Linked DNA regions of Drosophila melanogaster. The protein of the gene in region 3 interacts with the protein of the main gene of each other region in a biochemical or structural test. Each region holds a gene or a part of one and is shown on either strand. Other genes may lie near its edges. The genes, in order: drk, sev and Dab.

Region 1 (3,755 bases), on a different chromosome or scaffold from region 3:
GGTTTGGCCTAGGACAGCCAGCCAGCCAGCCATCGAGCCAGTGAGCCAACACAAACACAAACACCTGGAAGGAAGCAAGGCGGCGAAAAAGATCGAATCGCAGCCTGCCAGCAGCCTTTTTCTTGGCCAGAAAAGCCAGCGAATACAAGCAACACGGGTAAGCATCGGATGTCCCCCACAAAGTTCCGCAAAGTCAAAGGGGGCATCGAATATATCATCACTACAAACTGTTGGAATTGTTTTTCTAAGCATTCGGAAGAAAACGAATAAGGAAAGTTGAAATAGTATATATACTATAGGAATGCTAACAATAAATAAGTTCATTCAAGGAAACACAGTGAAAAATGCTAGATTTGCAAAGTATAGTATATAGATTAAATCATATATGCATGTTTATAGCTTTAGAAACCCCCTCCTCACATCATTTTTTAAACTTACTTTGTAATGCTAATCACAACTATATGCAGATTAAATGGGGTCAAAAATATGGTCTTGATAGATTTGAAGTGCAGTTGAGAAATGAAAAAATGTAGAGTAGAATGTACAATATTTCAGTATGTGATGCTTCACAAGGATTTTGTACTGATAGTGGAATATATTTGACTGAATCTTTTCGTTCTAGTAAGAGTATTCGGGCTGCGGTGGCTAATGAGTCGTAATCCTTTCGTGTTGCCTTCTGCGAATGCACCTTTTGAAACTCTTTAGCCAGCTTTTGCGACTGCTGTCTGTTTGGTCGCGATTTAGTAACAAAATCTGTCTGGGGATTGAACCTAGGATGTGGGTTAAGGCAACGACCTGGACGGCGGCAGCTGCATCGCAGCGGATTATGCATGCAGGACCTGCCACGTCCCCCTGTGCACCCCCTTACACCCTTGCGTGCCCCCATTCAGTGTGAAGTCTATGAATAAATGCAGATATTATGATTTGAGGTGGGAATTGATGATTTTGGAACAGCACTCACCTTTAGAATCTGAGTTTTGCGAAAACTCAGCTCGTCGTCAGCCGTCGCAGAGAAATCGTGTTTGGCAATCGCTTCCATTTTGCTGTGTTGTTTTGTGCGCAGTTAGAAAACGCTTTCGGAGTTTGTTTTAAAATTTAGTTGCAATTGTAGTTTTGGATTTAGTTCTATCAGCCTTGATGCACCACACACACGCACACACAGAGGCACAGACACACACGCTCGTTCTCTGCTCTTTCTCTCTAACTCTCTTTGAATTTCTCTCTCACTCACTACTCAGTGCTGTGGAAATGAAAACGAAACGAGACGAATCCGCGATTAGTTAGCGCACATTATATAAACGATAAATCATGGATATTCGGCAGTGCGCTTTTCTCAGTTCGGTTAATAATAATATATCTTGTGCGAAGGCAAGGGAAGAAAGCGATTAAAAATACACCGACGACGACGACATTCCCAGGCGGAGCAGCAACAGAGAATGAACACAGACACGAGCCGCTCTCTCCACGGCGGCCACTGTGTGGGTGTGTGTGCGTGAGCGTGGCAGCGTTGCCAGCAGCTTGCGATTTGGAATTTCGGGGAAAAGCAGGTACCGCAAAAGCAATTAGACGATGTTTGGCTATTACTTGTTGTTATGCGAAGTAATTTGCCTTAAATAATATGAAATGTGTCGCTTAGAACACAATTAACATTTGGCAATCTAGGGCGTGGGTGCTTGCTGTTGGCAATGCTGCCGCGGTGACGTTGTTGTTTGTTTTATTTTTTGTAACCCCAATAAACACACACACACACACACACGCGGCGCTTATATTTCTATATGCGTAAGTTGCGGCTAACTATTTTCGAGTCTCTGGCACGTGCAAAGAGGCCGCCGGGCTTACAATTTCAAAGGGCTAGGGTGGCTGCAAGCTTAAGCGACACTAATTAGGCGCGGGAGCGGTTTGGCTAACATATTACTACTGCTAAATTTGTAATTCACTTTTATTTTCATAGCAGCGTGACCGTGGCCGGGTCGCTTTATTATTCCAAGAAAATATACTGAACACAACACTGTGGGAGAGGCATACCGCAGGGCTTTCGTAGTTTTCCTTCACCTGGTCACACCGCAAGACGCTTCGCCATTTTAAAAATCAAAACAGGAGACGCTTCGCCGGAAAAGTCAGCATTACGTTTCATTCCCAACCGGACACTTCAGTTTGACTCGCCCATCCGTCACAGCAGTCGCCATGCAGCGCCACAAGGAACTGTACAAGGAGCAATCGCTGGTGCTGAGTCCGCGCAATCACTGCCAGGAGAACAGGGATCGGTTGCAGGCGGCGCGCGCCAAAAAACGAGAGGATTGTTTTTATCAGAACCGCATCATCAGCGTGAGCCCGACGCCCGTCAAAATAAAGCAATTGGCGGCGGCCCAAGCTGCTCTGACCCAGGAAAATGTGGCACCCAAACTGGAGAGTCCGGAGCGGCTGGACACGAAGCCCGCAGAACTGCTGAAGGAATCCAACCCGAAGGTCTCCCGCCAGAAGCTCTACTTACAACGCTACATGGAGTGGAAGATAGCCAAGACCAAGGAGCATAAGCAGCAAGACCAGAAACGTCGAGGCGCAGCCATCAATGTGCCGACAGTAAAACAATCAAAGGCCTTGCCCAAATCACAAACATTTCGGGTTCCCGATAATCTGGCTTCTGCAAAGCAGAAGGAGGCGGCTCCCATGTTCCAGCCTCCCAAGCGGTGTTCTCTCTACATGATTGCCAATCCGACGGGCAAGGGAAAAGCCGCAGAACCGATTAAACCTTCAATACCCAAGCCAACGTCAGCAGCAGCTCCTCCGTCATCCAATACCGTGGCTGCATCTTCCGCCTTGGCCAGGCATAAATCAGCTGCTTCTGCAACAAAAATAGTGCCTGCAATTCGTCAGAACAACAATCCAGTGGCCTTGGCCAGGCAAAAAGCAGCTGCACGACCCATTCCCAACACAACGAAGCAAACTACCAGTGTAAGGCAGCCTGGGATTGAAGCGAAAAAGATCACTACCACCATACCCAGACCCACCCCAGCGACAGTCACGAAAGCGAAAACGCCAGGCATACGACAACAGCCACCAGTGGTCAGCACAAAGCCAAGATTACCTGAGCCGCCAGCGCCACGGACAGCTAGACTGCCCAATGTGTTGTCCAAGCCGTTCGAGAAACCTTTAGGAAACAAGGCACCAGTGACACGACGGGCGAATGTCGTGAAACCACAGCCTATACGTGGCGGAGGTGGTGCCGCGGCCAAGTTCAAGGACACAGCTGGAGCGACCAGCAAGGCAGCAAGTCACTCCATACGAATGAAGGCCACCAAGATAAAGAGCCAGTACACGAGGCTTCAGGACAACGTGCGAAAGCTTCCTCAGCTCAAAGCCGAGTTGCTGCACGCAGCCACGCTAGATATACCGCCTCTCACGCCGCTAGACGATATCCATAATCCCTTTATCGACCAGGCCACATCAACGCAGTGCAAGTCGAACAATAGCAGCGGTCATCTTTTGGAGGCGTTTGGCGACACCATCTTGTTGAGCCCGGTGGCACCGGTCAAAGCTGAAGGAGAAAGTTCGGTGAAAAGGCAGTTGCTGCCGGAAGGTAAGAAAGAGGCGTCAGGTCCGGTGGCAAAGAAAAAGTTCGACTTTACGCGTTACTCAGTGGCGAATTCGCCGGCGGAGGACTCGCTCATCTTGGATCCTCAGCAGACGACGGGTGAGTTTGGGATACGCCTTCTCCAATCTTAAACTCAAACTCACATTTTCCTTTCAGTTAAAGA
Region 2 (3,755 bases), on a different chromosome or scaffold from region 3:
CAAGTTTTGTCTAATTAATAGATACTCCAATCACTGTATTTACAAAGTGGCAGTTCTGCCCTTGCAAAATGCTATATTACTATCATTTTTGTCAAACCGTCAATTATCATGAGTTTTCCGGATTATTACTCAATTTAGTGTAACAAGCATAAACAATTTACATGTATAGTTGATTAATAGCTGTACCAATAGCATTAAATGATATTTGCATATTTGAAAATTTGATGTATATAATATATTTGATATATTTGATATATATTTGATATATTTGGAAAATAATTAATAAAAATAAGTAGGCAAGTGAATATACCCCAAGAAAAAGCTTAACTACATTGCATTCTACTTATTTCAGATGCAGCTCAAAGGTTCAACGCACATTGCCGGCGAGATAAACAGGGTAAACACAAACACACACACACACAATCTAAGTCCGGATCGATAAGCCAAAATCCCAATGATCTCCGTAACTGGTTTGGCCAGCTTCCACCGCCCAACTCATCCAAATGTCGCCGGGATTTCGATTAGAGGACATGGATGGTCCATGCTCTCATGGTCCATGGTCCAATTAATATGGCGTCTGCATAATCAGCTAGCCAAGCGACAAGTTTCAATTAACATGGCGTAATGCATGGCCAATAAGTCACGCCCCCTTCGACCGACCACAGCAAAAACAACAACAACAACAACAACAACAACAACAATAGCGAACGGGAAGTGGCCATAACAAATTTATCCTCATTAAGATGCAAACACATTCGACGGACGGAGAATAATCGAGCGGAGTCGCACTTTCAAAAACGGAAATCCCTTTTGTCCGCAAGTTCAGCAAAACCATAGATATACATATATATATGTATATATATATATATGTATATATAATAGTTAATTGCACTTTAATTTCATATTTACCAGCAACAACAACAGCACAGCAGCACGGAAAATGTTAATTAAATCGCCCGATGAGCAGACTAGACCGAACAAATATATATATGTATAAACAAAATGAAACAGAAAAACCGAAAATAAATTGAAATTCAAATTGAATAAACCGCGCGAAATAGTGAAAACACGAAAGATCACAGCGGGATTAATTGCATTAAAGTTATTCAGAGAATATTATGCAAAAGCTGCCGGCCAGCGTTTTGCATTAATTAGTCGAAGGTATGTATGCTATAGTATATATATATACATATTTGTACAATCAGAAAGTCAAAACCGATGGAGCCTTAAACTCTCACCCACATTTCGCTCGAATCGCCGCTGTTGAAGTTGTTAAGCGCTGTTCACGCGCTTTAATTCAATTTATTGTTGATTTGAGCGGCTTAATTGCATTTTATTGTTGCAGTTGCGGCCCCAACTGAAAAGCAACTCCACACACACACACATAGGAACACTTAGTGCACGCGAAAAAAAAAGGGTATTAAAAGAGCCGAAATTCATGCAAACACACACATACGCGCACGGATGTATCTTGTATCTTTGAGAACGCAACTCACTCGACAAAATGTCACAGATATCTGGATGTGGATCTGAATCTGGATCTGGATGTGCGATTCCCGAAGCGTTACGTAGTGCGCAGTGGCGCGATCGCAGCAGAACTGATTTGCCGGCGAGCGGCGGCTTTTTAACCAAGCCCCAAGCTCCAAGTCCAAGTCCAACCCCCCAGCTGGAGAACTTGAGCACGGAACTGAAACCGAACCGAAGCGATGCGATGCGATACGATACCATACGATACCATACGATACCATACGATGCGATGAACGATGAGTGACGAAGCGCACCGCAACCGAACCGAACTGAACCGAACCGATCTTAAATGACCATTGATCTTCTTTTTCGTTGACGCAGCAACTATGACGTCATTGGCAGGGCAACCCCTAAACTGGATATCATGGGTAGATAGCCCACCGCGCTCCTCTTTCCATGGGTCAAAGCTCAACTCAATCGGTTGATCGCAGATCGCAAGCAGGCCGCCAGATATTTAAGTTCTTATAGATACATAGATAGATAGATGTATTTTCCATCTCAAGAAACCAATGCCACCTCAAGAGTATCTATCTAAAATATAATCTTAATAAAAACATGATCTTAACATTGTGCATCTAGTTGATTTGATGATTTTCGGTTTTTAATAAGCTTCCGACTTACATAGTAACATCTTTGTATCATTAAAATTAAGGTAATGGGCCGAGGCTATGTAAAATGTATATAATTATTAAATTATAGTACTTATTTTTGAGCTAGACTTATTAAGACTAAATATATTGAAAAGCTTACATCCAAAGAGGGTTAAATTTCAACTTCTTGCAATGGAAAAAAACTTTATTCGTTTACAAATGTTAACAGAAATAATTTAAAATACAACTCAATTTACTCTAAACATCGTCACATGAATAGCGCAAATCAACGCGCTTTTTCGCCAACAAATAAACGTGGCAGAAAATTTGTTTAAATCGTTTAGCTGACTCACTCTTTACATTTAGCTAAGCATTAACAGCACACCTAAATTGATTATTAAACTAATTGATCGCAAGCAGCAGTAAACGCTTGAAAATAATTGAATTCAATAGGGAACTAGCCCACACAATCAGAAAATAAAGTCATCAATTGGGGTGAATAGAAGTGTATTTCCATGAAAAGTAAACGAGATGTGGAAAGTCATAGAAATTTCATTAAAAATTTTCTATCAAACTACAAAATATCATATTTCCATAACTTTTTAACCGAGAAATATGAAGAAAACAAGTTAAGCTATTAATTTCATTGATTTACACAAACATTTAGGTATTTTTTTTTTACTCTGTAGAATCAAAAACTCGCAAGCTAAGAAATATGCAATATTTTAAAGCATTTTCCGAGCATTTGAAGCACACAAGAGTAGGCAATTTTCCGGTTACACATGACTCGTGACTCATACAACTGACACTGCGGGATGAAAAATTGAGCGGCGAGTGAAAGGCTTGCGTGACAGCTTCCGTTTCCGGTTCCGCCATCAAGTCCAAGTATCCCTTTCGCTTATGGATTTTTTGGCCAACGGAAAGGATGTGCCGCAGACATCCAAACTGCACTCGTGCGCACAATTTCTTGGCCCGAATAATCTGTGGAAATCCAATCTCCCGCCTGGGATCATCGAATTCGTACTAATCGTTTGAAATATTCTGGAATTGATTAGACGGCAAACTTATTACACACACTTGACGGAAGATGCGGCTTATCAACCCGAGCGATTCTCAATGGATTCGCCGGCGGACTAGGTGCTACATACCTATTTCACAGACTGTCACGTGAAAATCAGATTTTCGCATTTTTTTCGAAAAAAAAAGGGACAACCCCGGAAATTCACCTTCTGATTGACGTATTGTGCACATTTTGCATGCAAACTCTTTTCAATCTTGAACTGTAGTGAAATTTGCAATTTTGTAGCACTACAAATTGGTCTTGCATAAAAATATTTATTTCTTTCTCTCAGTTTAGTCATTGATGTTTTAGTCTTTTTCAGTTTATTGAGTAAAAGGTTTTATTTATATCGACAATTGAAGAGAAACTAGAGTTAGTTTATACGTTGTAAAGCAATTCAATTGGTTGCTTAACGTAACATAAAATTATATTATATTAAATGGTGTATTGTGTCGATTTGGGAACTGTTTTTGGATGATTCACCACCAATCGATGCCCCAGTGCCCGACTGTCTGCATAATGGACTTGGTGGCATTGGATGATCATGATCGTCCGGCGCGAACCAAAACATCGAAACG
Region 3 (3,755 bases):
ACAAACGAAATAACGCGACAATCCGCGATAAATATTCCGTTCCGTTCGAATAGAGTGACCGCAGCAGACTGCGAGCAAAGTGACCGTTGCAAGGTTGTGGTGCAATATTTTTCGATGTCTTGCTATGTTTTTGAGTTCTCTTTTCGGCCGTAATGGCGCCACTGTTTTGTGGAGAAATTGCTTTGCAGTGTGACCATCTATTCGATTGTAGAAAATACCAAGAAAATTTAAATCATCATTTAAAAAAGGATCTTCAACGGTTATACGAGTTTTAACGACATAATATCTTGATAGCTAATCGAACTTTAAGGTACCCTTGGTATAAAATCTTTACATTTTTTTTTTCTATCAAAGCTTAACAGAGAAATTTACTATTATAGTTTCAATTTATGTCAAACCTTTGTATAAACATATGTAATTGTGTGTACCGCAAGTACGAGCAATTACCTATCGGTTGTCGTCGATAGACCGATAGCCTATGTACCGGCTGGCGTACAGGGTGCCCGCGGCACTTGACCCACCACCCTCGAATCCTTGGAGTTTTACTATCGAATTTTCGGTGTGTGTGCATATCCTGCTGCTCCCAGGGCGTAGGACCCAAATTAAACTACAAACCCATTCAAATTGGGTTAAATTAATGGCCAATAACATGCAAAGCAGGAAGAACGTAAAAATCAGCTTGTAAATATTTGCCAAAAGAGTCGAATTGGTTTTTTCGCTCAGCCAAAATCACGAGTGTGTCACCCACTTCTTTGTGCTTCACTTTTTTTCCTGGCTGCCAGACAAAGAAAGCTGCGCGTGTTGTGCAATATTAAGACGGGAAAGGATCAAAAACAACGAATAACAGTTAATTGAAGTTAGATAGCTTACCGCTGCATAATGAAAGGCGTAGCTACATCCCTTTCCCACCCCCCACAACGCCTTAAAGTAGGCAAAGTGGAAGTAAACACGCACACAGAGGCCCCCGTTGGAAAATCGATAATCCGTGCCGTGTCCGTGTGAGCGCGTGCGAGTGTGAGTGAGACAAATGCCGGTGTGTTCTATCGACCGACTGGCACAATAACAACAACAACAAAACGCTGACTGTCAGGAAGTTGGGGAGTGCGAAAGAGACGGAAGACGCAAAGAGCGAAACAAGTGTAAACAAATCACAAAAGGCAATTAGCAATAAAACAACGAAGGAAGTCCAATAAATCATAAATAAATAAAGCTCTTTAAGGCTCAATCATTATTCGCAACATTATACGCGGCCAAAGGAATTACTACACGAATGCCAATCAGCTTTTTCTGAGCAAAATGCAGACGCTGCGCAAGAAAACGAGTCCTTGTAAATGTAAGTAATACAAATAACACCTTAAAACGGAATTTTTTCATCTATAAAGTCTTTTTAAAGTAATTCTTCTTGTGGGAAGAAATTTTTTTTCTTGAAATTTTTGCTAGTGAGGAATGATGAAATTATCAACTAAAAACGCAAGCCATTCACATTGATTTAAATTGCAGTGTTTTATGTCAACAACGAATTTATTTGGTATTGTCAATTGAATTAGGGTATATTATGTATTTTGAACACAGGCATCCCTACTTCGAAGTTCTAAAGTAATATTTCTGAAATCAGTAAAAGAAAAACTGTCCTAAATTGTTTCTCTTTAAAGATACTTTGCCCTTTTAACAGCACTGCATATCAAATTACACTCATACGCCATGTTGTAGAGACATGATAGACCTTTTCTAGGTGGTAAATATTTTGTCAGTCAACTTTTCTACTTTCCTTCCTGCATCTCCCTCGCACTTCTATTATCTGCGTAATTCGACCATAGCGTTCTCCTTTGTTTACTTAAAAAGCTAATCATACTTATGAGCAGGGACAAAGTAAATTCCTCACCATTAAGTAAAACTAAACGTTTTAGGTTTATTTCTGGCCGAAGCTAGCTTTTCAAATTCCGATATATCCTATTGATCGATCCCTCGATTCAATGCTAGACCCGGCTTATCGATAAGCGTCTCAGACAGCATCCGCCAATCGAATAGCAGCTGCTGCGCCGGCGTCGCAGGTGTTGCAGTTTTCCCAAAAAAGATCAACAATGGCCGAGAGAGCTGCTCGTTTTCTGTACTGTATTTTGCGCCACAAAAATCACTAAATAATAGAGTGAAATCTATGTGTACACACGAGTGCCTCAAAGAGTGTGTGTGTGTGTTTTTGTTTATTATTTCAATTGAACAAACTGCGACAATCCAGTCCAGTCGAAAAAGAGAGTCACCGTGAGAGCATTCGAATCGTTTCCACGCTCTCATTCGCTTTTATTCATTCCATGATCGCGCATCGTTCTCCGCTAGAATTTAATTAAATCTATAGCGTCGCGAAAAATCGTTGTGGAATTTATGTATTGTTTGTCCCCCATTGTGTGCCCCCTCCAGCACCAACACCCTCTCGTCATCGTCCGCGTCCCAATGGAAATGTCAACACACACACACACAACAGAGAGGCCCGGAATGCTACACTGATTCTGTTGACACTTCGGTGACCAGAGTTCCAGAATTCCAGAGTTTTTCCAGCCAGCGTTTTCCCAATGAGCAGGAGCAGTACCCACTGAGACTTCGGCCGGGCGAAACATGGTCAAGTCCCTGGTGGCCAAGTTGTCCACAGCCTCCTCCAATCTCTCGTTGGCCAGCACCTTTGGCGGCGGCAGCGGCGCGGCAGAGGAAACGAATTACGCAAAACGTTAGCGAAAACAAACTAAGCAAATACACAAATAACAAACAAACGAACACAGTGGCCCCTCCGCAGTGAGAAAGGGCAAACAAAACCAAGATACAAACATATGCGAAGATCACAGTGAAAATTTTTTTTGATATTGTGCTGATAAGACGAAGCTATATATAAAAAATCAATATTGGTCCTATCACTATAGCAAATTGAGATTTACTAATACAATAAATGCTGATATTCAAAGAATCGAGTTCTTTATAAAAAAATCTGAAGATAAAGAAGATGATCAGAAGAAGTTTTTCAGTGTACATACATGTTTAAAAATCTTTTAAATTCTACTTAGACGTTCAAAACTGTTTTAGCATTCAGTATAAAATTGTAATAAAGATGCTTCGGAAGGCAAAGAAATAATAAAACTGTTTTTAAATCATAGTTCCCAGCGGAAGGAATGAAAAGTGATGCGAAATATTGAATAGAACAATGAAAGTCTTCTTGATCTTGAATGAAGATTTTTAAAATTTCAAATTTGATATACCACAATAAAAAATATATAATCCATATAGATTTTGCATTCCATCAAAGCATCATTTTAAATATTGGATGATCCAACGAGGAACACAAGTGTTCATTCAAGCACATAATTACTCGAAAAATTTGAAAAATGAATCATTCAAAATATTTTAATGGGGATTCGGTCCAATAAACCCAGATTTGTGCACAATCCATAGAGTTTTGTCGAAATGGATTATACTTCTTTTGATAAACTAATGAGTAATTAGTTTGCTTGCCATTTCATCTTATATTGCAAATATTAAAGCATTTTCTTTTTAATTTCGGACTAGATGGTTTAATTATATTATAGTTCCGTTTCCTAAATACTCCTTTTGTAACTTTTTTATGTTTAAATTTTTTGAAATGTTGCCAAAATTTGTAACAGTGCTAAATAAAAACGTTCATAAATGTGGGTTCTCTCAAAATAAATCAGCCACACCCCAAATCCCACGGCTTCCAAAACTGACGAGTGACCACTACACTCTGTAAAACATTT

The links.
Region 1: the proteins of Dab (region 3) and drk form a complex in vitro, tested with the Drosophila melanogaster proteins (one study listed by BioGRID).
Region 2: the proteins of Dab (region 3) and sev form a complex in vitro, tested with the Drosophila melanogaster proteins (one study listed by BioGRID).

Annotation. Positions count from the first base shown.
Region 1 is NT_033778.4:13,500,852-13,504,606, forward strand, and holds the start of drk (downstream of receptor kinase), read right to left. Parts: upstream 1,991-3,755; 5' UTR 1,840-1,990; exon of another isoform or gene 1,074-1,839; 5' UTR 1,040-1,073; coding exon 962-1,039; exon of another isoform or gene 623-961; intron 158-622; exon of another isoform or gene 1-157. Other genes in the region: mars, read left to right, coding at 2,185-3,691, 3,749-3,755.
Region 2 is NC_004354.4:11,084,700-11,088,454, forward strand, and holds the start of sev (sevenless), read right to left. Parts: upstream 1,601-3,755; 5' UTR 1,497-1,600; intron 1-1,496. UniProt on the Drosophila melanogaster protein: Receptor for an extracellular signal required to instruct a cell to differentiate into an R7 photoreceptor. The ligand for sev is the boss (bride of sevenless) protein on the surface of the neighboring R8 cell.
Region 3 is NT_037436.4:16,711,602-16,715,356, forward strand, and holds the start of Dab (disabled), read left to right. Parts: upstream 1-2,058; 5' UTR 2,059-2,610; coding exon 2,611-2,719; intron 2,720-3,755. UniProt on the Drosophila melanogaster protein: Together with Abl, involved in embryonic neural development. May have a role in eye development. Acts as an adapter protein for SH2-domain containing proteins during sevenless (sev) signaling.